2 linked regions of the Oryzias latipes genome follow. The protein of the gene in region 1 purifies or fractionates together with the protein of each later gene. This does not show direct contact. Links are inferred from orthologs where the notes say so. Each region holds a gene or a part of one and is shown on either strand. Other genes may lie near its edges.

The links.
Region 2: the proteins of zufsp (region 1) and ubr5 purify together in Homo sapiens (affinity purification with mass spectrometry, with the first as the bait; 3 studies listed by BioGRID). This does not show direct contact. The link is inferred for Oryzias latipes from reciprocal best matches to the Homo sapiens genes ZUP1 and UBR5.

Annotation. Positions count from the first base shown.
Region 1 is NC_019874.2:5,457,054-5,472,695, reverse strand, and holds the end of zufsp (zinc finger with UFM1-specific peptidase domain protein), read left to right. Parts: intron 1-1,593; coding exon 1,594-1,689; intron 1,690-1,769; coding exon 1,770-1,879; intron 1,880-3,607; coding exon 3,608-3,776; intron 3,777-5,024; coding exon 5,025-5,213; intron 5,214-5,922; coding exon 5,923-6,088; intron 6,089-6,164; coding exon 6,165-6,325; intron 6,326-6,815; coding exon 6,816-7,021; intron 7,022-7,085; coding exon 7,086-7,133; 3' UTR 7,134-7,219; downstream 7,220-15,642. Other genes in the region: WD repeat-containing protein 26, read right to left, coding at 12,350-12,717, 13,796-13,925, 13,998-14,076, 14,605-14,750. UniProt on the Homo sapiens protein: Deubiquitinase with endodeubiquitinase activity that specifically interacts with and cleaves 'Lys-63'-linked long polyubiquitin chains. Shows only weak activity against 'Lys-11' and 'Lys-48'-linked chains.
Region 2 is NC_019874.2:6,519,566-6,535,949, reverse strand, and holds the end of ubr5 (E3 ubiquitin-protein ligase UBR5), read left to right. Parts: intron 1-182; coding exon 183-355; intron 356-991; coding exon 992-1,141; intron 1,142-1,375; coding exon 1,376-1,593; intron 1,594-1,724; coding exon 1,725-1,845; intron 1,846-1,971; coding exon 1,972-2,344; intron 2,345-2,507; coding exon 2,508-2,595; intron 2,596-2,664; coding exon 2,665-2,809; intron 2,810-2,937; coding exon 2,938-3,068; intron 3,069-4,179; coding exon 4,180-4,240; intron 4,241-8,976; coding exon 8,977-9,158; intron 9,159-9,240; coding exon 9,241-9,325; intron 9,326-9,400; coding exon 9,401-9,556; intron 9,557-13,998; coding exon 13,999-14,112; intron 14,113-14,184; coding exon 14,185-14,329; intron 14,330-14,414; coding exon 14,415-14,500; intron 14,501-14,973; coding exon 14,974-15,186; 3' UTR 15,187-15,728; downstream 15,729-16,384. UniProt on the Homo sapiens protein: E3 ubiquitin-protein ligase involved in different protein quality control pathways in the cytoplasm and nucleus. Mainly acts as a ubiquitin chain elongator that extends pre-ubiquitinated substrates.

The sequences.
Region 1 (15,642 bases):
CTGCAGGGTTTATGTCTGTAGTCAGACTGAATGTCACTGTCCTTTGGAGCCATGTGTTTCTTTGAATATCAGTGGGGACGACTTTAAGAGCTTCTTTAGAGAGAGAATTGCAGGTCAACCTCCCATCCACCTTCAGAAATAATTGTTGCTTTCTCGTCACTTTTGTCCTCTAGCTCTGACAATTGTTGTCTCTTAATGGAAATAAATATAAAAGAACAGCTAAAACATTCCATTTTCATTTTTGAAATTCTTTAGAAAAGCGTTACAAATCAATGATGTGACCATAGGAACAAAAACGTTCTCTTGGGTTTTATCTAAGATTTAGAGTTAAGTAAGCATTTAGAGTTTTTTTGTAAATAAGGAAACTTTCTCACACCTGAGTGTGTTTGGTCCATTCCTGTTAAAAGTTTACATGCTTTCTTTAGGCAACACATTCTGGCAGAAGTTTAACGTTATGCTGATGATTCTCAGCTAATACTTGTCTTAAAAACCAGGATATGTCTCCCAGTATACCAGGCTTCATGTATGTACTAAAGAGTTAAAGGCTTGAATGTTGGATTCCCTTGATTGCAGTAAAATCCCATTCAGTCTCCAGTTCTACTTTTTGAAAAAGGCTTGGGTCATAACCCTCAGATAAGTCATTCATATAGCGGGAATAAACGTTTCTAAAATGTCCCCCTTTTTATTTCTGTAATACGAAAGAATCAGGAACATTTGTCGTCAGGATAGCACAGAGAAACTTGTTCCTGCATGTGTTGCTTCAAGATACTGAATTCCTGATTGTTATTGTTCTACAATTTCACCAAAAAGCCACCCCCAAATTCTGCATTAAAGGTTTTCAATAAAAATGGCCAAACAAATCCTATTTCTCCCATTTCAGATTCCTTCATTTTGTCTGCCTGTTGCTGGCAAAAAATAATTCCAAGTAGGGCTGCACGATATGAGGAATACTCGCAATTTGCTATAGTAGTGATCAATATTGCGATGACAAAATAACTTGCGATACATGAACAAACAGCAAAACAACCAAAAACATAATTTCAGTTTCACTGGAATTGTTTTATATAAGAGTCAACATAACTTAAATCCTACTCCAAATGACCCTCATCTACATAGGAGGCGAGCATCTAACACAAAGGGCTTCATCCAATTGGTTAAATGACTCGTTAAAGAACATTTAACCATTTAGTACAATTGTCGCCGAATTTCGCAATATGCGTATTGCACAGCTTGATATGGCAATAACGATAAATCTGGGGTTTACTGTGCAGGGCTAATTCCAACCTTTTTTTTTTCAGACATAGAAGCTTTTACTGTTTAAACTTCACTGTATATTAACAAGCCCTGGGTTCCCTGGTTCACAAACCGAGCTTTCTTATCTCATAATCTTATCACAGGATTCCTGGTTGTTCTTAGAACTAAAATCCACTTTAAAGACTGACAGAAATAAGTATTTATCTCCTACAAACGAGAATTCTGTCTCTCCTGCTTATACATATTCAAAATATAAATCTTTGTAATGCACGGATATCGTTAACTTAGTGTTGGCCACGCCCCTACAGAAGCAGCTCAGGGCTCTGCATCTGTTTGCAGGACGGAGGCCGTGGGAGTGTCCCATGTGCTCAGCTGAATGCGCCGACAGTGCTGCGCTGCAGGAACATGTGGAGCTGCACCTGGACCCCTGCACAGGTGCATTTCTGTCATTACTGTGATACCTGTGTGAGTTTGATTGGTCCCTGAACCTTTAGCAAATCTGCATTTGTCTCCAGGACGCTCCAGCTCTGATCTAAGCCTGGCGGTCCAGCTGCAGCAGGAAGAGGAACAACACAGGAGGAGGGAAGAGGCGAGGCAGGAGGCGGAGCACTTCAAGAAGCTGCAGGTGACTTATGCAGAACCAAGCCTCTGGACCTTTGGTTCACGGATTTTTGATCACCGCGGTGATGAACCAGCAGGGGGCGCGGTGTTGCGGTTATTAACTGCAAACACCCCCCCCCCGCCAAAAACAAAATCCCTTGCGGACTCAGAACCGGGTCTAAAGTGTGTGTCTGAGCACAGCTCTGATCATCAGCACACACACACACACACAGCGGCGGTGTGAGCCTCAAAGCAGAAATGTCGCTCAGTCCTTAGAAACCGTTCAAACAATCACGTGGATTTGTGTTTCCAGTCGTGTCCCGACTAAATAAAGGCTGATGTTATTCCCACATGTTTACGTGCAGCCAGGATGCAGATTGCAGCACCACCCAAGCTAATGCTGTTAGCCCGTGTTAGCATACTGCTAATTCTGGCTTCTTTCCGGCTCCGCTCTTCAACAGAAAAAGCAATGACCACACGGATTACAATTAAAACAGGCGAACAGGCGCTTCATAATAATCGTAACATTACTAAAAGCACGTTTAGAAGATCGTCTCACTTATTACGGAGCTGACATGTCAACGTATATAGCCGCTCGGCGGAAGTCATATCCTCAGTCATTCCGGTTTTTCAAACCCTACTGCGCATGTGCGAAGGAATTTTTCCGACCGAAAGTGTGAGCCATGTGAACGTTTGTTATATTCTGAAAACATTTTTCTGTGCCATGTACACGGTTGGATTCTAATCCGACCATTGATCCCATCAAGATATTTTGCACATGTAACCGCGGCTTATGGTGTCTACTCGCAGCGTGGCGGGGGCGTGGCATCACGATGGTGTCTCTCCATCGGGATGTCAGTCACCCATCACGATGGACGATGGTATCGTCCATCGGCGCAACCCTAGATGGCGCTCCCCCTGGAGAGAGGGGGAGGAGCTCTGTCACCTGGAAGGATCTCAGAATGGAGTCACTGCTTGTACATCCTAGTTGAAGGAGGCCCCAGGAAAGCACCGGGACATGCTGAAGACTAGGGATGCCTCAATTCTTGATTTAAAACTGAGCCGTGGGGAATGTGAATAGTGCGTGTGTTTATGTTGAAAATGTTAAACACAAGTTGTGCACATTTTTTTTAGCGGGATTTACTATTTATTTATTTAATTAGGATACACCAGGCCTTAGTGTAAGAAAGTTTTTACTTCATAGTTACTTGCTTATTGGCAAATTAAAAGTATTTTTCTGATTTTGTTGTTGTTGTTTTGTAAAACACAAATCAAAGCAAAACAAAACCATGACCTAAAAATTGAGGTTTGAACTATGAGGAAAGCAGGTTGTTGCATCCCTACCGCTGGCCTGAAGAGGGAGATGTGGGCATTTTCTATTTGGCTGCTGCCGACCTCTGGGTAAGATAGATAACATGGATGATTCCTTTTTATGTCCTGGAGATTTCCTCCCTGGATCTGATCTTTTCCTAATTTCTGGCTTTATGACACATGAACATGCAACCCCCTGCAGGCTGATGCCTGTAGTCTTTGCTTGCAGCATCACGGAAATCAAGTAAAAGCTACAGCTTCTTTGAGCACGGTTGATTTAAAGTCTACATGGAGCGTCCTATTTTATAAAACCAAGCAAATTCTCTGTTTCCTGTCTCCTTCGAAGACCATCCAGATGATCCTGTGTTGATCTGTTGCACTGCAGCAATCGTGTCACAGTTTGGGCTTTCAGTTTCAGTCTCTGGTTCTGCTGACTCCCCAGAGGCGCTATGGTTTGGACGGGTCAGGGGGCTACCGCCGGCAGATGGAGAGGACCATGGAAAGGGAGGTTTCTCGTGGCCGGCTGGCACCCGCAGACTTTCACCGTAAAAAGGCTGACTTGATGGAGTCTCTGACCTCGGGCGTTGATGACGGCAGATCCAGAACCTGCGGTACGCTCCTGTGTTTAGCCGTATGTGTTTGGGGACGAGGGGCTTCTCCAGAAACCCTCTCCAGGGACGACATTTCATTTGGAAAGGAGAAGCATCTCACCACGGCTTTAGATGTGTGAGACGGAGCTCCCTCCGTGGCAGAAACGGCACAGACCTTTCCAGACATATGCAGAAAGATCTTTTTGCTGTTTAGTCCATCATGCAGACCATGACGGTCTCAGTTTGTAACAATTCATCCTCCACTCAGCGAGGGGAACGTCACAACGCCCCTCGCCCCTCGATGTCTGGGGCATCAAATATTAAGTCAATCTGCCCTCTAATATTAAGAAAAACTCATGTAACCGCTTGTTTGTGCAGCCCTCTATTGTGTGAGCGTGACAAATTATAAACTTACACGGATTAAACACTTCGCCCAACACTCAAACACCAAAAAACAGATTTCCTAAAATCCACAATATATGCAGAACCCAAAATTCAAACCCAAGTCCCGCAGTCTTGCTAACAAAAAGGAAATGTTCTGGAAGAAAATGAGTGTTCAACAGTCTGACATGTTTAGTGGGAGACCTCCGCCTCACTCGCTGGAACGCATTCCGACCGTCAATGAAGCTGCTGGTCGATCTGAGCTCTTGGGAAAATATACTCCATCAAAATTATGAGGAGAATAATCTGAGCTGGGAAAGATAATCCATCATACGAGATCGCTAGCTCCTTTGTGCTCCTGGTCCGCTGTCAGTTGTGCATTCTTTCTTTTTACCGCGCTCCCGCATCTCATTTAAAAAAAAAAAAAGGTGTGTCAGCCTGTCACCTGTCAGCTGGTCCCGTTCAACCAATGGGGTGACGACAAATACAACATGTGACCTCAAAAGTTCATTGACAAAAAACCTGTTAAATAAATCCACAAGTTTTTCCAGTTTCAGGTCATAATCAGAAACTGATTTGTAGTGGCAACCATTACAAGTTCCCCAGCCTAATGCACATGATCCATGTTCAAACTGGACTGAAGAGCCATTCCTGCTCTGCTACCTTTGTCTTAATGTGTTCTTGATAATCCTCTTTCTTCACTAATAACTTTACTTATTGTGAAAAAATGGCCACTGAATTGACTCATTTGGTTGGAGCCAGAAGTACGTCTTTTTCTATGGTGACATCACACTCACACAGTCCAGTTCTTCTATACAGTCAATGTATCAGGTTATAAGATTGATGGTGCGGGTCACATGACTGAACTGTGGGACGCTGTATGTGCAGGTGCAGTCGATGCCTTGACGGAGTATTATCGGACCCCGGCCTGTGACTGCGCCCACGTGTGGCTCTGTTCCGACACCGACCACTTTGGCGCATCGGCAGGAGACAAAGGCTGGGGCTGCGGCTACAGAAACTTCCAAATGCTGCTGTCCTCCCTGCACAGAACTGAGCCCTACGCCTCTTCACTTCAAGGTGCGAGTCGCCTTTGATGTCCTGACTGTCATGGTGCAGGAACAGTGGAGGTTGGACCGTGACTCCCCTTCACATTTCTGTCCCAAAGCCTCACAACATGCATCACAAATTAAAACCACGGAAGAAGTACGAACAGACCATGCAGAGAACACATAAATTGACACAGAACATGAACCGTGTGTGATTATTGGGCTGTGATTTGTGCGTCAGTTACGTAATTTGAATGCGAAACGTACGCCGTATACGGGAGATAAAAGTTATACATCGGTGGTTCATGCGTTAAAAGTCTGTTAGACATAGCCACAAATTTGTGTATCCCAAAAACCACACACAATTGCATAAGATTTACATAACAATTGCGGATAAACTACGTAAAACATGCATAACCTGCATAATTCTCAATAGACTAAAAGTCCGGAAATCATGTAAAGATCCTAAACCCTCGACAGACATCTGAGCACATCGACAGATAACTAACACAAGAAACACTTTTGAATTCCGTAAATCACGCAAGACTAAAATTTCATACGTGGAAAATGTACACAGTGGCTGAGTGACGTCACGTAGCCTTAAGATAACATTTCCTAAATGAGAGAAAGCACATAACTGACAACCTAAACCAATAAACTGAGGTTTTCATGTGTGCTAATAAATATTAATGTTATTGTTGAGTTTCTCCAAATCCACTGATGTCTTTTTGCTCGGCCAGAAAAGGCAGTTCCTTCTATCCCACAGGTCCAGAGAATGATAGAAGAGGCCTGGAAAGCAGGTGTGGATCCACAAGGAGCATCCCACTTCAACCACCGCCTGCAGGGAACACGGGCCTGGATCGGGGCCACAGAGATCTACGTGTTGCTCACCTGGCTGGGTGTCAGGTGGGACGGCAGCTCTTGCTCCATGTGTAGGCAATGAATTGTTGCTCATGAGCATCATCGCGGTGTTTACCTCCAGAGCACGCATCATTGACTTCCACCAGCCTACGGGCCCCGGGGACACCCATCCCCGGCTGTTTGACTGGGTCAGACAGTACTTCCTTCAGTCCAGCCAGAGCAACAGACTGCCCCCCAAGGTCATCCGAACCAGCCTGCCCCCACTTTACCTTCAGCACCAAGGTAAATGGATGGGGGAGTGTGTTCCAGCAGAGGCTTATTTACATAAAAAAAACTCCTTTGAAAATTTGTCACCACATTTGGTAATTCAGTTGTGAAGTCATGGTTGCCATGGTAACAGTGTTGTTCATACCTTTTATTTTAGCGTCTTTTTCCTCTGAACACCAGAGATGTTTGATGTTCACCAGAGCTCTTACACTTTAGGGTGGGGGCTTTATGCCCATATTGGGTAATTACAGCTGTTGGCTGGAGATCAGAACAACTCTGACTGTGGAATTCCTGTCAGCACGTCTGCTGCCGTGTGAAAAGTTAGTTGTCTACAGGTCAGGCTGTCTTCGTCTTTTGCTCGCGGTTGCCATCGGTGATCGCAAGAGATGCCGTCGTGGTTTCTCGAATTAATTGAGGAGTTTCGGTGTGTCCACTTTGGTGCTATATTTGGGTTAATTTGTCTGATTAGTGGTTCCATCCCTTCAGCTTCCTGCTCTGTCTGCAGGTCACAGCCGCTTGGTTGTCGGCGTGGAGCAGAGGAAAAGCGGCGCCCTGGCCCTTCTCGTTATGGATCCCGGATCGAAGCTGTCACTAAGCACTGATGCGGTTTCCGTGGCGATTCGCCACATCAGGAAGTTCCCCAGCAGCCTGAAGCACAAACAGTATCAGCTGCTGGCGGTGCAGGGGGTGCTGTCTGCAGAGGACAAACAGGTACGCTGGCAGCGCACATCCGCCATCACCTGTTTGATCCTGAAACTGCTCTGTCTCTGTCCAGGCTGCTGTCTTCAACTCCAGGACTCTCTGTGCAGAGAAGATCCCATGAGAGGCTCTCCAAGCATCTTTTTACTGATCACAGTCTTCATAATTTGGTTTTAGATGTTTTATAATAAATGCTTTCCATACAAAAGTGTCTGCTGTGTCATAAGGACCTTTAAAAGGATTTCCTTTTTTAACCCAAAAAATATCCGCAGTAAAGAGAAACTAAAAGACAAAAAAATTAAGTTTTATTTAGCAAACTTTGTTGCTCTAAAGACTATGTTCTAGCAGACAGACAAGGTTTTCAGGATTATAGATGAGCCGCATGTTTATCATGTAAAAAAAGTCAAATGCTTATAAATGTATCAAATTTCACAGTTTGCATCATTTCAGTAAGTTGCAATGAATAAATCCAAAAACTTTATTTCATAACTGTCAGACAACAAGAATAAATGCAACATGTTTTTACTCACACTTAGCAAAAACATAAACTTAACACTTTTGATTTTGCTCCAATTTGTCAAGAAATGAACTCAAAGATCTGAAACATTTTCTACAAACACAAAATAACCATTTTCCTCAAATATTGATCACAAATCTGTGACGGTGAGCACTTGTCCTTTGCTGACAAATTCCGGGTGTGGCATTAAAGATGCTGATTAGACGGCTTGATTTTTGCACAGGGGTCACAATGAATGGCCAATCTGAGATGTCCTGTTTAGTTCCATTAACCCTTGTGTTATCTTAGATGACCCCACCCTTACATTGACGTGTTCTCCCTACCATGACAAAGGTGGAAAGATTTCATGTAATCCATGGACACCAGTGAAGTTCACAAATCATTGAAGAAAAAAGGTTCAGAGCACTGTCTAGTGGGTCTAGATGACCCAACTCCCAATGGTAAAGTGCCTAGGATAGAAAGGGTTAACCTATGCTCTGGAGACTCAGAAAACCGGTCAGTGTCTGGTGCGACCACCATTTGCCTCATGTAGTGCTACACATCTCCGTAACCCTTGTGCTGTCCTAGGCACTTTAATATTGGGAGTAGGGTCATCTGAACGTTTTTTTTTCAGATTTGTGATCTTCACTGGTGTCCATGGATTAAATGAAATCTTTCCACCTTTATCCAACTTTGTCATGGTAGGAAGAACACGTCAATGTAAGGTTGGGGTCATCTAAGATAGCACAAGGGTCAACAGAGTTGTCGTTTGTGACCTGTGTAATGTTGGTCCACTCCTCTTCAATGGCTTTGTGAAGTTTCTGGATATTAGTATGCCCGCATCCAGAACATCCCAAACATGCTCAATGTCCGGTCAGTATGATGGGATGTTACCAGCCTCCAAGAATTGTCTACAGATCTTTGCAAATGGGGTCATGCATTATCATGCTTCTGCATTCTTGGATGTATGGCTCAACAATGGGTGTCAGGATCTCTTCACTGTAACTTTGTACATTCACAATGCCATAACTAACTTCTGTCTGCCCATACCATAACTCCACCGCCACCGTGGGCCACTTGATCCACAACACTGACAACGGAAAACCGTTCACACACGTTCTCTGCTCTCTGCCCTGAATAGCGTTAACCAGGATTCAAATATCTGTGAAGAAAACACTCAAGTCAGACATGACAGGAGTCGGGTCGAGACCCCCGTGAGGACGACGAGCATGCTGATGAGCTTCCCCTAGATGGTTTCTGGCAGTTTGTGCCAGCGGCTGTTCGAGTGGCTGGTCTCAGGCGATCTTGGAGGTGAACATGCTGGATGTGGAGATCCTGGGCTGATGTGGTTACACTTGATCTACGGCTGTGATGCTGGCTGGCTGTACTGCCAAATTCTCTAAAAACACCTGTAACCCTTGTGCTATCCTAGGCACTTTACCATTGGGAGTTGGGTCATCTAGACCCACTAGACAGTGCGCTGAACCTTTTTTCTTCAATGCTTTGTGAACCTCACCCTAGTCCATGGATTACATGAAATCTTTCCACCTTTGTCCAACTTTGTCATCTAAGATAGCACAAGGGTTAACCCTTGTGCTATCTTAGATGACCCCACCCTTACATTGACGTGTTCTCCCTACCATGACAAAAGTGGAAAGATTTCATGTAATCCATGGACACCAGTGAAGTTCACAAATCATTGAAGAAAAAAGGTTCAGTGCACTGTCTAGTGGGTCTAGATGACCCAACTCCCAATGGTAAAGTGCCTAGGATAGCACAAGGGTTCAAGATTGTCATTAGAGAAACCCCAGAACAGAAACCAAGTCACTGACGTGCTGGATTCTGAAAAGGTCACACAGAGCTGCAGTGAGAGCCACTTTCCACACATGGGGACAACCTGGAACAGTTTAGAACCTTGCCAGGAGTGACCCGCCGCCCAAAATACCCAAAGCCCATCTCTTTTTTGACAAAAAAACATCCAAAACTGTTAGACAAATATTCTGTGAACTGGGACAGAACAGGGAGTTTCTGGAAGGTGGGAGTCTGTTCCATCCGCACTAAAACTAACAGACGATTGAGTCAGACACAGATGTGGCGGTTTGATGTGTGGGCTCAAATGTCCTCCATCAGTTCATGAGAACTTTGGATTCTGAGGCAAGAATCAGGAGATCCAAGAATTCTGGTCCAAGTGTGGAGCTAACCCAGACGGAGATTCTGATTCTGAACCTTAACCCTTGTGCTATCCTAGGCACTTTACCATTGGGAGATGGGTCATCTAGACCCACTAGACAGTGCTCTGAACCTTTTTTCTTCAATGATTTATGATCTTCACTGGTGTCCATGGATTACATGAAATCTTTCCACCTTTATCCACCTTTGTCATGGTAGGGAGAACACGTCAATGTAAGGGTGGGGTCATCTAAGATAGCACAAGGGTTAAACTTTTTAGTACACGGAGTCTGAATTGAAACAAAAATGACACACATGAACTTTTCACTCAAATGAAATGACCGTTTTCATGGCGGCTGTCCGCTATGTGAGGCTCCAGGAGATCATTGACTGAAGCCTCTTCGTGGCACATCTGGACACTTCCCAAACATGGTTTCGACCACGTCAGAGACGGGGTAGGAATGGAGGAGCTGCAGCTCCATCCTCGGATGGTCATGATGAACTTCACATCTTCCTCAAGGTTGCTGGGAGTGTGTCCGCATAGCCCCCCCTTCCTGCAGGCAGCAGCACAGAGTTGAACCTGTGTGTGTGTTGGAGCATCTTCTGAGGGACTCATGTTCCCGGTGCATTGAACGCAGCATGCGGTTCAGGTTAGCTCCAAAACTTTATTGAGAAGACACAGCTTTCCAAAACAGCCAATCAAAACGCAGAGTTTCTTGAAGGCAGAAAATGGGTCTAAAGCGCCTGGGGTGGGGGGTGGGGGAGCGTGAGAGAGAGGGGGGGGTTTAACATGCATCATCCACATGGTCCCTGCAAACTGCCCCCTCTCCTCTTATGGGGGGGGGGTCTGAAACTGTCAGTGAATTCTGCAGCTAAAACACTTCTAACAGAGATCACAAACACCCCCCTCCCCATCTGGTAAAGGAGAGTAGAGGGTTGAGGGTTAAAAGCTGCAAATCTTTTCAGCATTAAAAAAAAAAGGTGACCCCCCCCCCCCCCCCCCCCCCCCCCCCCCCCCCCATGATTCTGACGGTTCATCAGACGGCCAACAAGATGCAGACAATCTTCAGGAAGCAGTCAGGGAACAAATAAACCGAGAACACAGTACTGGGCTGGTTCTGTCAGCCAACACAGGTCAATAAATACCAAATAAGAATAAATAAGGGGGGGGGGTTGGTCCTGCAGGGTTCTGACAACAGGAGGGTGGGTCAGCTTCACCAGCCGAACACAGTCATCTCTGTCGCACGCTGAAGCCGAGCAGTTGTCCAATCAGCAGATTACCAGAGTCTCTCCACAGCCTCCATGCGGGCGGGGCAGAGGTGGTGGGTGGGTGTGTGTGTGGGGGGTGGGGGGGGGGTCATCAGCTGTCCATACTGCAGCAGTCTGGGTAGGCAGAAAGAAGCGTATTCAGAACGTTCACTTCAAGCATCAGAGCCAAACACAAATGTTAGAAGGAATGAATGATGTCTCCATGGAAACCCAGTGAGCAGATGTTCACACAGTGCAGGAACTAACAGAGAAGATTTGCAATTAACAAAGGATCTATCATCATAGATGGTCAACAGAACCATCATTTCAGTATTGATAGGATAAAGCAGGAGCCAGGCTGCATCGTCTCTTTCAACAAAAAAATATTAAACCTTGAAGGCCCACTCTGATGAAAACTGTGTTTGTGTTGTTGCTTTTTTTACATGTTCTTGTGGCTTTTTCTCATAATGGAGGACATGTATGAAGAAAGTTCATCTTAAGATAGCATTTCTTAATATTTCTTTATTCAAACTGTGAACTGGGAGCAGACGAAAAAATGCTGTTGGAAAGAGAGTTGATTTATGACATGGCTTTGCTCTGCTGGCAGAAAAGCTGCCAACATATCATATATCTATTGCTTAGCATTTCTACTGACTCATATGAGAGGGTGATCATGCTCACACGACAAAGAACGTTCATAATTGGTTCAGAGACGGAACGTAAAACAAAGTATTACCTAAATATATAGAATACTTTTTAAATTCACACTGGGAAGGAATCGTTTCTCATAAATAGCATGTGAGTTTGGTTACCCCAAGTACCTCTTTCTTTCTTTCTTTCTTTCTTTCTTTCTTTCTTTGTTTGTTTCCCCCTCATCACTAGCTGAAGCTGTCCAACCAACAAATGTTCTTTTCCGAAATTCAGATAAAACACAGGTTGTTGTTTTGGTCTGGAAAACGTCAGAGATTCACTTGGGAACAATATGATCACATTGGATGAAATGAAACTTAAACACAGGCTAAACTAAATCTGTCGTTTCATGGGACAACCAGGAAGGCATCGAATCGGCTTGTTTATAACTTGAACAACTTGAAATAAATGTGATGAATTAATGAGGATTATCAAGGGTTTAGTTAAAAAAGGGTAGTAGAGCAAGACTGGTTATTCTGACAAATAGAATGACTGAGTAATAGCTGTTTATTTTTCTGTAGAAGTCAGAGATTTTAGCCTCTGATGTTGGCTGTTATTTGTTTGGAGTCATAGCTGGTCTGCTATGAAAGTCAAGATAGTAATGTTAATGTTTGATTTGTCTTAATTTGCTAAAAGATGCTCACACTGACACCTCAATGCATTTACCTGGAAATTCAGGCTGGAGCACTAAGACACAGGATTGCGCCCTCTTGTGCTTGCTTTTTTTTTTTCTATCGTCATGTCCATGGCCAACATCTCTTTGAATCCATCTCTTTACATCCAACAAAACAAGCAAATTTTGGACCAGAACCAAACAAAATACTGGAGTCTGGGAAACGACCTGCAGTGACCTGCTCACCTCTACAAACACACTCACTCCGACTGCACTCACTGATGTTCACGCTCGCATTGCCGAAGCCCTCCACCTCCTCCACATCCAGGAAGGGGGCGGGGCCCCAGATTCTGACGGTGCCGTCATCAGAGGCGCTGGCCAGCAGACCGGGCAGGATGGGGTTCCAGCTCACACAGTTGACGGTGCGAGTGTGGCCGGTCAGCTCTGCGATGGGAAGTTCGCTGCGGCGATGCCAGATGTAAACTTTATGGTCTGCCAAGAGACACACAGCTTACCGGCTGCTGCGTCGCTACAAGAAAAACCTAGTGGCTCCACTTGTAAACACCCACACGCATACAGATGTGCTCATAAGTTTACTTACCCTGGAAGAAAGGATTTCTTGGTCATTTTTCATAGAATATGAAAAACTTTGTTTCCACTCATAGTGATTGGGTGAAGCCAATTATTGTCCAAAAATTCTGTTTACCCTTTTTAAATCATAATGACAACAGAAATGTCCAATACGACCAGGTTCAAAAGTTTACTCACCCTGACGACTTTCTTCTGAAAACATGAACACAAGGCGATACAAAAGGATTTGAATGACACCTAAAGGTAACTATCCTCACCAGAGACTCGTTTGTTTGTAATCAGTGTATGTGCACATGCGGTCTCAGAGTTTCTGGGCATCCTTCACCCACTGCTGCACTGACATTTCTGGATCCTGAGCCATGATCCAGAAAGGAAAGAAAAGGAAAGGACAGGACAGGAAAGGACTCATGTTCCACTTCTTCATCAAAGTTTGTCCACTGCTTACTGGCGTTATCAGTTCATTGGATATCTTCTTGTTTCTTTCTCCTGTTTTGTACAGTTCACTTACCTTTTCCAAAAGATTTTTTGACGGCTGTTTAGTTTTCCTTTAGCTACCGTTCTAATCCTTTAATATCAGCTTGAGTTCATGTTTTCAGAAGAACGTCATCAGGGTATGGAAACTTCTAACCTGGAATATTTGGGAAGTTTCTGTTGTCATTATGATTTAAAAAGGGTAAACATAATTTTTTTTGACAATAAATGGATTTACCCAACCATTCACTATGAGTGGAAACAAAGTTTTGTGAGGTCATTCTTATTCTATAAAAAATGACAAAGAAATCGTTTTTTCCATTGTAAGTAAACTTATCAGCACAACTGTACATACACATGTGCACACAAATGCACAAACATCCATTCAAACACACAACACACACACGTGCACAGGCTGGAACCACAGTTCCAAGCTGCTCTTCTTCCTGTGCGCTTAATTGAAACTCATAACTGAACACAGTAGAAACTAAACGTGCTGTTGTCTTGCCTTCACTGCCACTCGCTATGAAGTCTTCATTGTGCCCTCCAAAGCAGGAATGGATGGTATAGAAGCCCTGAGTCACTCCCTGGTACTTCCTCACCAGCACCCTGTCCTGCAGGTCCCACAGATGGACTCCCTGCAGACAGGACCATCAGCTGTGCTGCCTCTGTGCCTGGTACAAGGGGGAGATTGTATAGAAGGTGCTCACCTGAGTTGCAACGTTGAGGAGAGCTAAGCTCCCAGTCTTGGAAATAGTGAAGGACATGATGGGATGGTCTTCCTGCACTCTGAAAAAAAAAGGTGCATCAAATCAGCACAGTAAGAACCAACACGGTGTTTTTGCTTGATGGATAATTCCATCAAGCAACTGTTCAGGTGCTTTGACTGCAGTCACAAAAGGTTTTCTTAAGCCTGATAACGCCGACAAAATTCTGTATTTGTCTGACGCATCAATATTCTGTTTAAAAGAAAACAAGTTCTGCTGCTGTATGACCTTTTCAGGTGTTTTCTCTGCCAGGGTTGATCCATAAAATTTTTTATAACCTTCACAAATCTTTAGAAACTAGATGTGAAAATGACTGATGCCCAAAGATTGTCCTCTATTGAATTTGCCTCGTACTTGTCCATTTACATTACTAATCACATCCAGTGATTAAGAGTGAGCAAAAGTCCATCATTTGACAGAGTGAGACCCTGAGGTTGAGCTGGACCTTTCTACATAGTTTTGTAAAAATCTTGGTTAAATGTGCTGGCTAACTTTACCATAAGACGTTTGTGAGTTGGTGCAACCTGACTCCAGGGTGAAGAGAACTCACATATTTCTGTCGGTCAGGTCCTCGAAGTTGTACCCTCGGATGCGCTGGTGAGTGTCGGATGCGAGAACGGTCCGGCCATCGCTCAGACAACCCAAACACTGCACTCGAACTCCCTCCCAGGAGTCCAGCAGGTTTCCATCAAGATCCTGGCAGTGACAGAATTAAGGATCCAGCATCATGGTCCTGACATCAGGCTCTGTATTTCTGTCTCCTGTTCTAATAGACTTATGCTAACCAAGGATTTGTACTTAGCTGAAACAACCAAATAAGGCAGAAGTTATTTTTCCATGTTGTTAGAACAGGGGTGGGCAAACTACGGCCCTTTTTAGAGCCATTATGCTGCTTTTTTAAAAACAGCGCACCCTGTTCTGTGTCCTGATTGGCTGGAGACCCTGTCCATCAATGTCCTCCGTGCCGGGTCTCCAGTAGAGAAACGCGGAGCTCTTCAGATCTACAGAAATCTGTGATCGATCAGATCTTTGTTTTCATTCTAAGATCCTGGACAAATTAGGTCCAGGTCTGTGAAGGTTTGAGAATTTAAACAGGAGACAAGGATGAAAATGTTCATGTCTGTGTGAGAAAAGTGTAGAAAGTGGTAATGAGGAGTTTTACTGCCATAAACATCTGTAATCAGACTGTGGATTTCACCGATCATGGTTATTTTTAGAATGTAACTCCTGCAATAAATGAGGAACTCTGTACTGCTGAAAAGGTAACACAGATATATGCTTAGCTGCAGCAGAAGTCGTAGAAATTTGCTTTTTTCATTATTACTGAATGAGAAACAGACGTGTAGGACACAGCAGCTCAGTTTTGGTGCAAACTGTGAGACTTTGAGGAGCTGCAGCCCTCAAAGTCTCAGTGGGAAAATGACGGGAGAGGATCCACTATTTATTGGTTTTTCTTTTTATTGGATCAGTATGTTTTTTCCTGCGGAGCCAGTTTAGCTCGTGCTGGTTTGCGGCGCTTTCCGTCCGTGAAACTAGGGTTGGAATCTGGGCTGCTCACTATTCCCTTCTCTGCTTCTGTGCTGGTCCC
Region 2 (16,384 bases), about 1.1 Mb from region 1:
CATGGATTATTTGCTGCGAGGTACTAAATGAATGAAAAGTATGCTGCAGTTTCTTCACTCACAGGCAGCAAACTTTTACTTCAGAGTTCCCTGCATACCATAGAAATGAGTAGATCTGTAACCGTGTTAGCTACAGAGTATAGTTTGTGTGTTTTTGTCAACTAAACCTTTTGATCTTTTAGGTTCAACCTTGCAGGACAAGGATGAGGAGTCGGTTCCAGCTGAGATGGGTCAAAACCACCCGTTCTTCCGCCGCTCTGACTCCATGACCTTCTTAGGCTGCATCCCTCCCAACCCTTTCGACGTCCCTCTGGCAGAGGCCATTCCGCTGGCAGACCAGCCCCATCTGCTGCAGGTCTGATTTGAAAAACATCGGTCGATGGCAGAACATTGTTAGCGCTTTTGAGAACAGCTTTCGCTAACTTTACCAGCACCTTTTTGATCCAAACTAAAAAATTTTGTTGAAATCTTTTAGCAACCAGTTAGAATTTGTGAAATGCTGTAGATTGAGTCATGGGAGCCGCATTGCTGCTCAGACTGGAATCTCAAGAATACCCACACTTGATAATGATCAGAAGAAATCACATCTCAACCCGTTTTAGTCTGCTCCATGTTTGTTTCATTTTTTAACCTTCTGCTGGATTTTTTTGTCTGGGACTGTATCGGTATTAATATCCAGTGTTGGGTAAATTACCTTTTAAAGAGTAATTGACTACTTTGCCTTAGTTACTGTATGAAATTGTAATTCCCCAATTCAAAAATTTATTCACTACTCTGTGCTTTACCTTTTTCTACTCGCACACAAATTCTCAGAGGAATAAAGATGGCACAAACAAAAATCTAAAAAAAGGAAGCTACGTGAGGATAGTCCGGTTTTCATTTTAAGCGTCATTTTTTAGCAGACAGGCAAAGCCCCCAGTCACTAACTGGACTCAATAGTATGTAAATATTCCCATTGGTGTGAAACGTATTTCAAACATTTCTTCCACAGCCTAATGCCAGAAAGGAGGACCTGTTTGGACGCCCCTCTCAGGGCTTGTATTCGTCCTCTTACATGGCAACCAAAGGCCTGGCTGATGGAAGCATGGACAGAAACTGCCTGGAGGTAAACATGGGCTCCTCTCTACCCTCCCCCTCCCAGGTATACTACTCATTTTCACTGGACACACATGCTGGCATAAGCACTCTGTGCACAACAATCAGGACATGTGTAAATTAAGACAGAACTTTTTGGCAGAGCTTTGTGTGCACTGGCTTTAGTTAGGACATCAGAAGCTGCTGGTCTTTGTTCCATTTTCAGTTTCTTTTCAGTCGTTTTTACAGCATCCTGAGGAGAAAACGAATGACATTACATCAAAACACTCTGCTCCATCAGATCCTCCCTACCAAAATGTCGTATTCCGCCAACCTGAAGAACGTCATGAACATGGAAACCAGACAGAGGAGCGCTGAGAACCAGTCACTGGGGGAGCAGGAGCTGGAGGCTTCTAAACCTGGGCCTTCGCCTCATGACCTCGCAGCCCAGCTGAAGAGCAGCCTGCTCGCTGAGATCGGCCTCACTGAGAGCGACGGTCCTCCGCTGCCGTCCTTCAGGTGAGCATCGATCACCAAGCTGGAATGTAGAAGATGATCCTGTTCTACTCTGCATCCTCCTGACAGTCTGTCTTCACAGCTTACTGAATAGTGTTCAGCATGATAATGTTGGTTCTCCTTTGTGTGTCCAGACCTCACTGTAGTTTCATGGGGATGATGATATCTCACGATATGTTACTGGGCCGCTGGCGTCTGTCGTTGGAGCTGTTTGGTCGGGTCTTCATGGAGGACGTCGGAGCTGAGCCTGGATCTGTAAGTTTAGCTTCAGAGTTTGCTATAAATCATTTCTGCATGTTGGGGAGTTCGTGTGACACAAAAATGGTGCAGTACGCGTTTGACCCATTCAAATGGAGATGGTCGTGTTCTCATCCATGTCAGATTCTAACTGAACTCGGCGGCTTTGAGGTGAAGGAGTCCAAGTTCCGGCGGGAGATGGAGAAGTTGAGGAACCTGCAGTCGCGTGACCTGGCCCTGGAGGTGGACCGTGATCGAGACCAGTTAATCCAGCAGACCATGCGTCAGCTCAATGCGCACTTTGGCAGGCGGTGCACAACAACGCCTATGGCCGTCCACCGGGTGAAGGTCACCTTCAAAGACGAGCCCGGAGAGGGCAGCGGCGTGGCCCGCAGCTTCTACACGGCTATCGCGCTGGCACTCCTGTCCAACGACAAGCTACCCAACCTGGACTGTGTTCAGAGTGTCAGCAAGGGCATGCAGGCCAGCAGTACGTGTCATCACGATTACAATTCAAGTATGACTACACATAGAAACTACTGCACATTGTGGAACGTGATTGTGTTGCTTTGTTTTGGTGTTGCACTTGTGTTGAAAACAGTTGCAGCTGTTTTTGAAAATATGTCTTTGGTTAAAGAGCAACTTCAAATGAACTTGCTGCGTTTGACTCGTTCCACCAGACCTCATGCAACGCCTGAGGAACCGAGACAGGGAGAGGGAGAGGAGAAGTGGAGGGCTTCGAGCGGGATCGCGGAGGGACCGAGACAGGTAAGCACTGCGCCTGTGGTGTCAGAAGGAAAAACCCCGATGCTAATTCAAACTTGTTGATGGATCCAGGGACTCCAGGAGGCAACTCTCTATAGATACCAGGCCGTTCAGGCCTTCGTCTGAAGGAAACCCCAGTGATGAGCCCGACCCTCTTCCAGCACACAGACAGGCTCTGGGGGAAAGGCTGTACCCCAGAGTTCACACCATGCAGCCGGTAATGAGCATTTGGAATGGCAGGGCTTTGACAAGCTATGATTCCACGTGCTGATCTTCACATTGAAATACTTATTGAGAATCAATGAACTGATCAAAAACAAGGGGACATTGTTTTTGTCTTCTCAGGCGTTTGCCAGTAAAATTACCGGCATGCTGCTGGAGCTGTCTCCGGCTCAGCTGCTGCTGCTACTGGCCAGTGAGGACTCTCTCAGAGCCAGAGTGGAAGAGGCCATGGAGCTTCTCATCGCGCATGGAAGGTATGTTGACTCTCACTCCAAAAATACCTTTCGTTTGGTTGAACTACGATAAAATTCCAGACGTTCTGCACTTTTTTAAGTTCACAAATCAAAAGTATTTCTACTGAGTAGTTACAGCGTCATGATGACAAAAGAAAAAAAAACATTTGCAAAAGCCTCCTTTTTAAGCATGCCGTAACTGTTTATACACTTGACCTTTAACCCACCTTTAAAAAAAAACTGATGAACCTCTGGATGAATTTATGTAAATGTTTAGCTTAGCTGGCTGACCTTAGGACACAAAGTGTGTGAACATCACATTTTGGGCTAAATCACTACAACTGTACTTCAACGTGGGCTTTGTGACTACGTGTGCGGAGGGTTAGCTCTAATATTAGCTCACTTCTCAAGAGGTTAAAACTACCGGATCTGCTTTTAATTTGAAACTGGCGATCTAAATGAGTGATGGCTTCAAAGTCCCACTCCAGTCATCTATGGATCTATTTTCAAAGTGAGTTTTTAGCAAGTTTTTTTTTTTTTTTTAAGTCGTTTTTAAGGACAAGGTTTCTGCAGAGCGGCAAGAGTTGATTTGAAATTCATCTCTGAAATGTGGGCGGGGCCTTTGCGGTGTAGCTGCCACACCCCCTTCCCCTCCCTATTCCTGAGCGGAGCAGGAAGCTCGTGGCCCGCTCAGTGTTTTCTATCAAACAAATATGATCTTTTTCTAACTGCATTCATTTGTGTGCTCCTGTTTCACAATGATTTGAGTGAAAAAAAACTCAGAAATGTAATTTTGTACTTAACTTACTTCAAATATCTCCTCCATTGTCAGAAAAATGGTACAAGAACATGTTAAAAAAACCACATTCTTTGGAGTGGGTCTCTAAGAAGTAGAAATCTGTTTTTTAAAGCTCTTGATTAATTTCATTCTTTGCTAAATATAATAATATTAAATATTTTTTGAGTATTTTTATTTTTATACCAGAGTTTATGAACAAAAAGATTTGTGGCTTAGTGACTTAAACTGAAAGTTGTAAAGTTGATAAACATAAGGATGATAAATTAGGTGGTAAAGAAATGATTTTAAATCTCTGCCTTGTCTCAGCATTTTCACACTGTGTGTCCTCCTCAGGGAAAATGGTGCAGACAGCATTCTGGATCTGGGACTCCCCGAGGCTCCAGAGAAAGCTCAGGTTCACACGTCTTCACTTTTTTAAAGGTTTAGATTAGTTTGCCTGATTCTTATAGGGCTAGTAATAAGTTACATTTACTGAAGGAACTTTTAGAGAGAAAGTACACGTAAGTCAGAATACTCTACTTCACACCACACCGAAGTATTTTCAGGTGTGGAAAGAATTTAGCCATGATTTTGTTCAGCTTTTGGTCTAAATTTAGGCTGTTGTGAAAATACTTTTGAATAGAGCATTTTTTTATCCTGATATAGCTTTTTCCATATCAGGCGATACCGGTATCACGATGGAATCCCAATAACTATATTTGTCAGATTTGAACACTTTAATACTAACTAAATAATAGTAATGTGTAATCATCAGCAGGTTGTTTAGATTGAAATATTTATTATCTATCACACTTTAAACAAACAGATGCACTGATGGAACATAATGCACGTTTTGTTTCAGATATCTAAGAAAAGGAATTTATTTTACAAACTAAGTTTCAAGAGAACATAAATAAAAGAGAACACTAAACTGTTTGATCAGATCTATTTAAAAACAAAACATTAAAACCACAGATAAATTCTGTTTTCAAGTTTTCCATGACGAGCATAAAATTGAGAAACAGTTTTGTCAGCATCCTGTGAATAATCCAGGAACTAAAAGCAGATTATCAGCATTTCTGCTGGTAGTTTTGACCAGTGTTTTTCAACGAGAGATGGTCAGGTGTGCCGTGGGAAATTACCCATTCACTGATCTAAAAACATTTTCCATCTCCAGGAAATCAGCTCTTTGTTCATCCAAACAGGCCCTGATAAAACACTGAGAAGTTAGGGATATGAAAGATCGTAAAATACTTTTTTCTTTGTGTTTATTTGATTCTATTAAAGACATTTTGATAAGAATAACAGTACCGTGATTTAGCCGCAGCTTAAACTCTGATTTCGGAAAAGTCCCGCCCCTTTAACTGTCTCCACCAATCATTCTTGGAGGCCTAATCATACGTCACCAGTCTGACCAATCAGAAGTGGTTAAAGTCTTCACTTCCTTGTTCTGATTCTGCTCATAAGTCTCTCAGTTCTAACAAAAATACCAGCTAAAGCTCGTCTTTAGCGGTGTAGCTTTCCACAGAATCTGGTATCAGACCGTGGAACAAGTGAACAAAACAATGAAGCTCAGAGACGCTCGTCTTTCTGCGGTCGGCGGATTTTCAGCACTACATCTCCCATGATGCATTGGGTTAAAGTGACGGTGTCTTAGCGCACAATGAGTCTCTCCTCTTAACGTTTAAAACAACAACGAACACACATCAGTTATTAAATCTTTTAACTTAACTTTTATTACATCTTTTAGAAAAACAGCTGCAGCTTCCAGATTTTTCTGTCACAATTATCACAAAAATGCACGTGAGATTGTAGAGGGACTGTAGATCAATACAGACTATGAGCTTTTCCTTTATTTATTTTTTCTGGATGGGGCGTCTCTCAAGTTGCATGGGTTTGTTTAACTCACGTGTAGACGGTGGAGGAGGACAGAACAAAACCATTCACCAAAAGGAGAGTAAATAAACATGACTCATTTGCTAAAATGCTCGTTTTAATTACTGGCTATCGTAATAGACTCATTTTTCCATTGAGATAAAGCTATTTTGCGATAAATATAATGGTTTTATCTCCCAGCCCTAATTTTAAACTTTAAATACTGATCACAAATCAAAGAGTTCAAATTGAGATTTTCAATGGAAGTACGCTGCCGCAAATACTCCTCTTTTAACTGTCTCTTCACTTTTTAAACACTAATCCAGTTTTTAATAGAAGTCCAGAACAGTGTTTTTCAACCTTTTTTGAGCCACGGCACACTTTAACCTTGACAAAGACCCCGCGGCACACCAGCATCCAAACAAAAAAAAACTCGGTCTGTATTGATCGACAGCCCCCCCCCCCGCAATCTCAAGATCATTTTTGTGATAACTGTTGCAGAAAAAGCAGGCTGTTTTTTCTAAAAGATGAAATAAAAGTTAAGTTAGAAAATTCAAAAACGGTTTGATGTGTGTTTGTTGTGGTTTCAAGACGTTTAAGGACGACTCATCGTACGCTAAGACGCTGTCCCTTTAACCCAATGCATCATGGGAGATGTAGTGTGAAAACTGCCGCAAAAGGGCAGAAAGACTAGCGTCTCTGAGCTTCAATGTTTTGTTCACTTGTTCCCGGGTCTGATATCGGATTCTGTGGAAAGCTACACCGCTAAAGACGAGCTTTAGCTGGTATTTTTGTTGGAACGGAGAGACTTTATGAGCTAAATTGGAACAAGGAAGTGGAGACTTTAACCACTTCTGATTGGTCAGACCGATGACGTATGATTAAGCCTTCAAGAAGGAGACAGTTAAAGGGGCGGGACTTTTCCTTAAACAGAGCTTTAGCTGCAGCCAAATCGCGGTACCGTCATTCTTATCAAAATGTCTTTAATAGAATCAAATAAACACAAAGAAAAAATAATTTTATGATCTTTCATGTTCCTAACTTCTCAGTGTTTTATCATGGCCTGTTTGGATGAACAAAGAGCTGATATCCTGGAGATGGTAAATTAGGGTTGTGCCGATGGACGATATCATCGTCCATCGTGATGGGTGACTGACATCCCGATGGAGAGACCACCATCGTGATGCCACGCCCCCGCCACGTTGCGCGTCGACACCATAAGCCGCGGTTACATGTACAAAATATCTTGATGGGATCAATGGTCGGATTAGAATCCAACCGTGTAGATGGGCCCAGAAAAATGTTTTCAGAATATAAAAACGTTCACTAAGGTCACAATTTCGGTCGGAATAAATCATTCGCACATGCGCAGTATTCGCACATGCGCAGTTTGAAAACCGGAAGGGGATACAACTTCCGCCGAGCGGCTTTTTTTCCAAACTTTATTGAATATGACAATTCAATACAAAACGATAACAGCGCCGAGCGGCTATATATATTGACATGTCAGCTCGGTAAAATACGAGATGATCTTCTAAACATGCTTTTAATAATGTTACGGTTATTATGAAACACCTGTTTGCTCATCATTTGAATTTTAATCCGTGTGGTCAGTTCTTTATCTGAACGAAGCCAGGATTAGCAGTATGCTAACACGGGCTAACAACATTAGCTTTGGGTGGCAGTGCATCCTGTGAATAACATCAGCCTTTATTTAGTCGGGACACGACTGGAAACACAAATCCACGTGATTGAATGTTTTCTAAGGACTGAGCGACATTTCTGCTTTGAAGCTCAAACCGCTGTGTGTGCTGACGATCCGTGCTGTGCTCAGACACACGTTTAGACCCGGTTCTGAGTTCGGTAGCTAGTACCCCTAGAGCTGCGGGACGGATCGCAGTCCTAAATCTCCCACACATACCGCTCATGTACCCCCCCCCCCCCCCCTTCCCATCAAACACAAAGCTGTAAATCCGCACTCCGCCGGTCCACTCCGCTAAGTGCGGGAGCGGACTACTTCTTTTCTATTTTGTTTGTTACTTTTTCCGTTAAAGTCACTTCCCTCAGTTTATACTGGATCATCGCGGATTAACCATTAGTTGGGAAATAAAATGAAAAAAGCAAAATAACGAATAGCAGTTATATAAGAACGAAAAAATACCCCCCCCCCCCGGACGATGTCATCGTCCATCCCGATGGTTGACAGCAAACATCGTCAACGGCCAAATTAGGGGACATCGCCCAACCCTATGGTAAATGTTTTTAGATCAGTGAATGAGGGCAATTTCAACACTGGTTGAAAAACACTGGTCTAGAACAGGCATGTGTTTTTTACATGTATTGCAGAGCAGGGGTTAATAGGATGTACTGGTGTTTCAGCTTTGACCAAATGAATCAAGATAGCTGCTTCCTCACCTCTCGGTTTCGCCCTTTAGTTATCGCCACAGAGAATCATCTGCCTCCATCCAACCCTGGTCCTCCAACGCCACAGTCCTGCCTGGTTTCCAGCTCTCCGTGACCATCTTTCCTGATTGACTAAACACACCTGGTTTAGGTTTTCAGCACGCAGCAGTCCAGAGAGAGCTGGAAACCAGGAGTCTTTGAGGCTCTTGAGGAGCAGGGATGGCCAGCCATCTTTAGCAAAATCCAGCTTTTATTCACATCGTACTGTTGATGCAGAACAAATGCATTTGTTTACAATGTTTAGAGAACACCGTTTTATTTTGAACTGATTTAGGACTTGGCTTTCTTTGACAGCCGTAAGCTAGCTCGTTAAGCTAATTTCTTCATTCTCATTGCTTTATCAAGTGTGATGTATTGTTGGCATTAAACTGGTTTGTTTGGCTCTTTTGTGCGTTTTCTAAGCTAATGAGCACTTAGCTTACAAAGCTTTTCTTTTTTTGCTCATTCTTCCTTATCTGCAGCTATTTTAGCTAAAACTTTGGCAGTTTTTGTTTTAAATCTTACATTTCAGCATTGACACCAACTTTTTTCCCTGGAAATGTAAAATTTATAGTAGAGTATTTAATTTATAGATTTGGCAAAAAAAAAAAAGTCTGTGAAACAGCGAGACCACGAATGGTGAACGGGAATTTACCATGGAAACTTTCTACTTAACTACCTTTGTCATCAGTTACTTTTTGCTCAAGTATTTGTGTGGATGACTAGTTTTTGCTTCTCAGCTTGGGCAATTTTTTTTTAAAGTGAACCCTTTTTAATAATCTTTCTGAAAGACTCTAATATCGAATCTTGTTTTTATCTCTTTGATGGTTCCAGCAACAGGAGAACCGTAAACGTCATGGTTCTACACGTAGCGTGGTTGACATGGAGCTCGATGACCCAGATGACGGGGACGACAACGCGCCGCTCTTCTACCAGCCCGGCAAACGGGGCTTCTACTCCCCTCGGCCTGGAAAGAACACAGAGGCCAGACTTAACTGTTTTCGTAATATTGGCAGGTAAAAGACGTGAACGGGTCGTGACAGTTGATGTGTGGCATAAAAAAGTGAAAACGAGCTCAATAATGCTGTGTCCTCGCAGAATACTGGGGTTATGCCTGCTGCAGAATGAACTCTGTCCAATCACATTGAACAGACACGTCATTAAAGTGCTTCTTGGCAGAAAGGTAGGAGAGTGTTAGCTTGATTGTGTATGCAGCTCCACTCAGGAACTGCTACGTCATGTTTTCTTCTTCCTGCAGGTGAACTGGCATGACTTTGCCTTCTTTGACCCTGTCATGTATGAGAGCCTGCGGCAGCTCATACGCCATTCCCAGACCGGTGAAGCCGATGCAGTTTTTGCTGCCATGGATCTGGCCTTTGCCATTGATCTGTGTAAAGAAGAAGGAGCTGGACAGGTGAGAGTGTCCGTTTAGTGCTCCAGAAAGACCACCCAATTAGGTCTGCTTAGATTCTCATCAGGACTAATATCCATCCAAGTTCCATTCTCATATTATTTATCAATTTAAAGTTTCATTTTTCTGTAATTCCGAAATGTTAGACCGCTGGGTTCAATTCCTTAAAAAAGTTGTTTTGAATACACAAATGGAAGCAGGTTTGAGTCGGGTAGACTTGATGCTAAAAAGATTGGAATCATATTCTTAAAAAACTAACCTTCTCATTAAATGTCAGACAAAGGAGCTTTTCCTTCGAGTAGTTGTGAGAATCATTTCAGACTTTTACTCGAGTACTTTTCTCCAACAACACATCTCCTTTTAGTTGAATCTTGACAGCATGAGGCAGGGTGTCCAAACCTTTTGCAAAGAAGACCAGATTTAGTGAGGGCCAACCATTCGGCCTGCATTCTTGAACTAATTTACGGTAATAAGATTACCGTAAATTCCGGACTACAAAGCGCACCCAATTACTAGCCGCACCCTCCCATTTTCACGTGTTTAACCTATTTTATACATACACAAGCCGCGTCGGAGTACAAGCCGCATGTATTAGGCAACATTGTCATCCTGACAAATTACGTCCTGACTCCCAGAGTGAGTGTGATTCATTAGCACACAGTGGGTGGAGTCAGCTTTGCCTCAGGCTCATGTATTTGAGTATATCTACAGCTGCCAAACAGCATGGACCTGTATTCTGTTCACAAGTTCCTCAGTTATGGTGTTTTTATTTCATTCTTTTTTTTTTTTTTTACTTATTGACAATCTAGCTATCACACATAAAATTACAAACAGTAACCATATAATCAACATTACATCCCTCAGTTATGATGAGGAAATTTACATCCGCAATCCCCCATTTCCCATGAGTCTTAGGGGCTAAAGGCAGGGCCAATGCCCGGCTCGCCATTCTGTTGTGCGTGTTTAAGAATGAGCAAGGAGCAGCAGTGCATGGAGGGGTGAACGGGTACAGCTCTCCTTCCGCTTGTGTCGCGGCAGCGTTTTGGGAGTAACAGGGCTGGTTAAATAACACGCTAGTAAAATAAAGCAGCGACGACTGAAAAGCGCGCGCCTCAGCGCGATACGCGCGCCTCCTCGCGGCGCGTGGGTCAGAAGTTTCCTTCCACAACAAACACTGTTGGTCCGCGGACGCCTCTGCGCTCCCGCGCACTCCTTGTCTCCCCTTCCTATCTACTCCGACAGCTCTGGCCAGCGCGGCTACAGGGAGGGGCGCTTCGTCCCCATTGCGCCGGTGAACGGAGCAAATCGTGTCTGTGCAGAGCAATCGGACTTAAAACTGTACGTTTTGTGTATGAGGGGCGGATGCGTTGTTACGTGTGGGAGCCTTCAGACTGCCATCGGCCCCGCAGCTCACACGACACGCAGTCTCCAGCTCACACGGAGGCTGTGAGCGTTTCAATGCAAAACTCCGCTCAGTCCTTAGAAACCGTTAACACGACCACGTCAATTTGTGTTTACAGTCGTGTCCCGACCAAATAAAGGCTGATGTTATTGCCACATATTTACGTGCAGCCAGCCGAGTCACCATGACTCAGAGGTAAATTCCCTCCATGCGCTGTTCTCTCCGTCACGCAGCTGACCGGCTTTTCCAAACCCATTGGTGATGGTGGATTTTTTCACGCTGCTTTTAACTTGAAAGCTGCATCATATTGTAGTGGCGATCACGTGCACGTTGGGTCTAATGGCACCAAAGGATTCTGGGATGCGGCCGGGCATGCGTGTTTCGTTATGTTGAACCATGACTGAAGTGTCTAAGACCTGAAGTGAGGTCCATGCTGTTTGGCTGCTAAGAGGTGTGTTGACTTGCGCTTGGTGTTAGATAGAGAATTCTAACCATTCACTGAGTCCGAAAGTACGTACATGGCGGCCGCCAATTAAAACCATAAATTAGCCGCGTCACTGAATAAGCCGCAAGGCTGTAAATGCAGGAAAAAAGTAGCGGCTTATAGTCCGGAAATTACGGTAAATGCAAATGATCAGTTTATTTTACTGCCGTGGTGTTTTAATTTCTTCATATAGAACACAAACGCATCTAAATACATTTGAACCAAAATGACTGAATTCCACATTTGAAGACTAAAAACAAAATGAAGAAAAAGTCTGTCTGGAACATAAAAACTGATCAACATTAAATCTGGGTTCATATAAAAATATAACGTTTTATTCACTATTAAACATTTAAACTGTTTCAATAGGAAAATTTAACACAGTACAAACACACAAATTAACCCTACAATCTTAGAATTCATTCACCACAGAAGACTGAACATATTACTTGACGGTGGCAAAAAGGCTGGATCTGGCTCAAAACGGTGGTTTTAATGCTCAGGACTAAAGAGTCTCTTAGTCCCGTCCTCATGCGGTTCTTGTTGAATTGTCTTCTCTCGCACAACTATGTGGAGACAAACAAACTCAGCATTTTCTTAGCGAATGTTCGCATCTGCCTTCATCCAGCTGGCGGTAAAGGTTGACAACGTCACACTGCAGCCCCATGAGCTCCGCCTGGAGCGTCATCGGGGCGCACTCCTCTCAAAAAAGGAACGGTGTGGGACGCGTCTGTGCTTTCATCACAGGCTAGTGGAAAAAACCTCCAGCTGTCTCTTAATATCAGATGAAATGTCTTCAAGTCTCCGGACCACAGTGTTCCAGGCAAACATTAGCAAACTCCTGCTTCTTCTCAAGACAAATGTTCTCAAATCCTTTTTATCACAGTCTTAAATAAATTCCCCATCGGCTAAAGGTTTGCAGATCTTTGTGCTTCTACCTCGTAGCTCTAGGGGTGCGTATCGGCAAGAGTCTGGCGATACGATACGTATCCCGATATTGTATCGGAAAACACATTCTTTTTCTTTTTTAGAGTATGACTTAGAAAAAACTCTACCTGATTATTAAGATGCCTTTCATTGTAATAAAATGATAAAAATGTATTTTATTTAATGATCACAATGTTAAGCACTGCAACTGTATCTCATATATAATTTGCTTTAATCCAAGAAAAGTCATGGTGCTTTTATTTTATTTTGGTTTCTTAAAGGGAACAAAATATTTTTCAGTATAAGAAAAAAAAATAGGATAAATGTGACTTAACCAATACGGTTCTAAAAGCCTGAAGGAGGAATTAAAGTGCTGTTTATTTTCAATATTGCTAAATGTAGCTTCTCCAGTACTTTTCAATGGTTTAGGACCAAGAATGGTGCTTAAAGAATAAAGGGGAAAAACATCAATAAAGTGTTATGATGATGATGATGCAGCAGCATGACAGATGAAGGAGACGCTTTCATGTGGCAAAGATGCTTTATTTCCATGACAGTCTGCTCTGCAGCTGCAGCTCAGCTTTCTCGCACACCATCGCCATGACGTTGGCCTTTTTCCAGAGCGTTGTACACATCACTCTGATCCATCAGGTCGCTGGACTACAATCTATTGCTGGGAGGTTCTGCAGAACTTTGGCCCGCTTTGCCGACAGTATTTTGACTGATGTTCTGAGCATTAGCCTCTGCACAGCTGCAGTGCTTCACTGGTTCTTATCTGAGCTAAAAAGCGCCGCAATCCACGTTTTTATGATACTAGCAGCAACATGGCTCAGAGTACTGATTCTGTACCCATCCTACATAAAAAAGAAGTAGTTCATGTCACATAACAACAAAACAAGCTGCTTCACTGAGATCTTGTTGTTGTTTTGTGTGGTGTAGAGCTGCTCAAAGAAGCTCAGTGTTCTCTGCTGCAAACTAGTGGTCGGGGTTTCAGAGGAAAAAAGAGTCAGCTGCTGAAGGACGCTCAAAAATAAATAAATTGGAAAATAAATATTGTTTTTTCAGAATTTTAAATCGATAGAAATGTCGCCAAATGAAATATATCGCTGACTAGATTTTTCCCTACACTGCTACGTAGCTCACTTTTGTGGCATTTTTTTATTTGACTCGCGGGTTCTTGTGAAAAACGCTGCTGTGTCGTAAAACACTTTCCAGTTGCTTCAATTTTCCGCACCATTCCGTCCCAGTTTGTCAGAGTTGCCATGTCTTGTCTGGTAATGCTTCTTGATATTAAACTCTGTAAAAACAGCCACGGTTTCAGGCAGACAAAGTTGTTTTTCGTTTCAATTTATTTTGTTTCAAAAAAGCCAATTTCCACTTGTCCTGGAAGCAGCTGCCTTTGTTTTCAGCCAATCACAATCAAGCAGTTGAACACACAGTTCTTAGAAAGTACCGCGGCTTATTGACATGAGCTCGCGGTCCGGTGAAAATTTGAATTTCGGCCGGACTTCGGACACGCCTGGAAGAAGGTTTTTGTAATCTAAGTGCAGATTCTTGGTTCTCTGCTGCTCCAGGTCTAAATGTTGGAGAATCTGTCCTGAACTCAGATTAAAAATGTTTTTCTTTTTCCAGGTGGAGCTGGTATCTGGTGGAGTCAACATGCCAGTGACTCCTCTCAACGTCTATGAGTATGTGAGGCGGTACGCAGAGCACAGGATGCTGGTGGTGGCCGAGCAGCCGCTCCATGTGAGTTCCCTTCTTCTGTGTGGAACGGCTGTCGGCAGAACAAAGGCTGATTTAGATTCCGATTTTTCACAGGCGATGAGGAAGGGTTTGCTGGACGTACTTCCTAAAAACGCTCTGGAGGACCTGACAGCCGAGGACTTCAGGCTGCTGGTGAACGGCTGTGGAGAAGTCAATGTCCAGATGCTGATCAGCTTCACTTCTTTCAACGATGAATCAGGTTGGTTGCTCTGAGGTCAACATCCACCTGTAATAAAAACATGAGCTGTTCTAGATCTTTATCTAAAACCCTGTCTGTCTCACAGGGGAGAATGCAGACAAACTGCTCCAGTTCAAACGATGGTTTTGGTCGATAGTGGAAAAGATGAGTATGACTGAGAGGCAAGACCTGGTAAGTCTATCTATTTGACTGGAATAATCAAAGGGCTGTTTTTATTTAAACCCTGTGGATGTTTAAAAGCAGAAACCAGATGGTGCAATAAGAGACACTCGGAAGACGATCTTTGTCCTTAAAACAAATCTGATCAAAAGAATTGGATGAAACATGTATTTAAAAAGGGATTTTTCATGGATTACTCTCTTTCTGATGGTGTATTCAGCTTCGCTGTAAATTTGACAAAAACAAAGCAAAGTATTATAAAATATTAAAGTACAAACTCAAATAAATGTTTAAAGTTTGAGCGAATTTGAATGTTTGCACCTCCAAATAAAAAATGTCTTGATTTACATTCATTTACAAAATTGGAAATACAAGGTTTTTTTAAATCTGATTGTTTTCTTCTCTGCGTTTGTTAAAAATCTTAATAGAAAAAAAGAAAAGTAAAATGGGAAACATGTGTTGATGATTGCGTTTGCTCTCCTCAGGTGTACTTCTGGACCTCCAGCCCATCTCTGCCAGCGAGTGAGGAAGGCTTCCAGCCCATGCCCTCCATCACAATCCGGCCCCCAGACGACCAGCACCTCCCCACCGCCAACACCTGCATCTCCCGTCTCTACGTGCCACTCTACTCTTCTAAACAGATCCTCAAACAGAAACTCCTGCTAGCCATTAAGACCAAGAATTTTGGTTTTGTGTAGAGGTGAACTGAAAAGCATTTAAAAGAAAAGAAAAAAAGGAAAAAAAAGAACATGTTTACTGTTGTGTAATATTTACCTAGCTCCATTTTTGTAGATTTATTTTTTGTCCAAACAATTTTATGAAATTCGACATGCTGTCTCCCCAGGCAGTGATATTCATTTGTGTTGTAAACACAGACTGCTTATTCTTATTTCAACTTTTATTCTTATTTTTGTTTCTTTTGTTGTTAATGAAGAGTTATATGGTCCAGAACATTCCTGCATAGGCATTATTAAATTTAAAGTCCATAGTTTTGCTCTATTGGCTTAAACCTTCGCTTCACAGGAATTGGGTTTGACAGACAGCTGTCAACCGGAAACCTAGCCAAAGATGACAGCAGTAGAAATATTTAAAAGAAGAAAAGAGACACTGTGATTACGTTTTTTTTTTCCTTCCCTAGAAAAGTACTATCACTGACAGTTCACTGCTGCCTTTGTGAAAAGTCATTTTTTTCTTGTACAGGGGGAGATGGGAATTTCAAAATAAACTTGGATGCAAATCACGTCTTTTGTGGTTTATTTAATGCCATTTCCAACAGACTCGGATCAAACAGTAATGGTATTTAAATACATTTTCTTTGTTTTTCTTAAAATCAGTAGAAAAACTGTCTGCAGAGGCAGCCATCAACATTTGGTAAGCTTTATTGTTGTAGAGAACCTAGCATGGGGCCTTTCAGGGATTTTTGAGTTCAAAACCCATCGAGGCTTTTCGGTAGAAAAAGCCTCATCAAGTTCCTGGAACAAAACTGTCATGCGTTCATTGACGGCTCTGACATGATTTATTTTAGTATTCTTTGACAGTGTTACCACCATATATAGATTATCTATTAAAATGACTTTAAAAATATAATTGTAAATTCTATTCTACATGAGGCTCAAAATTTGATGTTTTAAAGTTTAAGCGGGTTCGGGTAGGGGAGTTTCCCGGGGCCCTGAACGCAGCATTTCTCCTCCAGTCAGACGGAGCCATATGAGGTGAACCTGCTATGCTGGCGGTCGGTGCATTGTGCGGGTCAGCTGTCGGTTGAAAACGATCTCTCGATGCTGTTTCATGCTAATTGGCTAGTTAGCTAAGAAGGTGTCACCTCGGCGTTTGCGTTTAGCTGGTCAGCCGGCGGTCTAGCTCCGCTGATGCTGCTAGATGAATTTATTGTCTGCC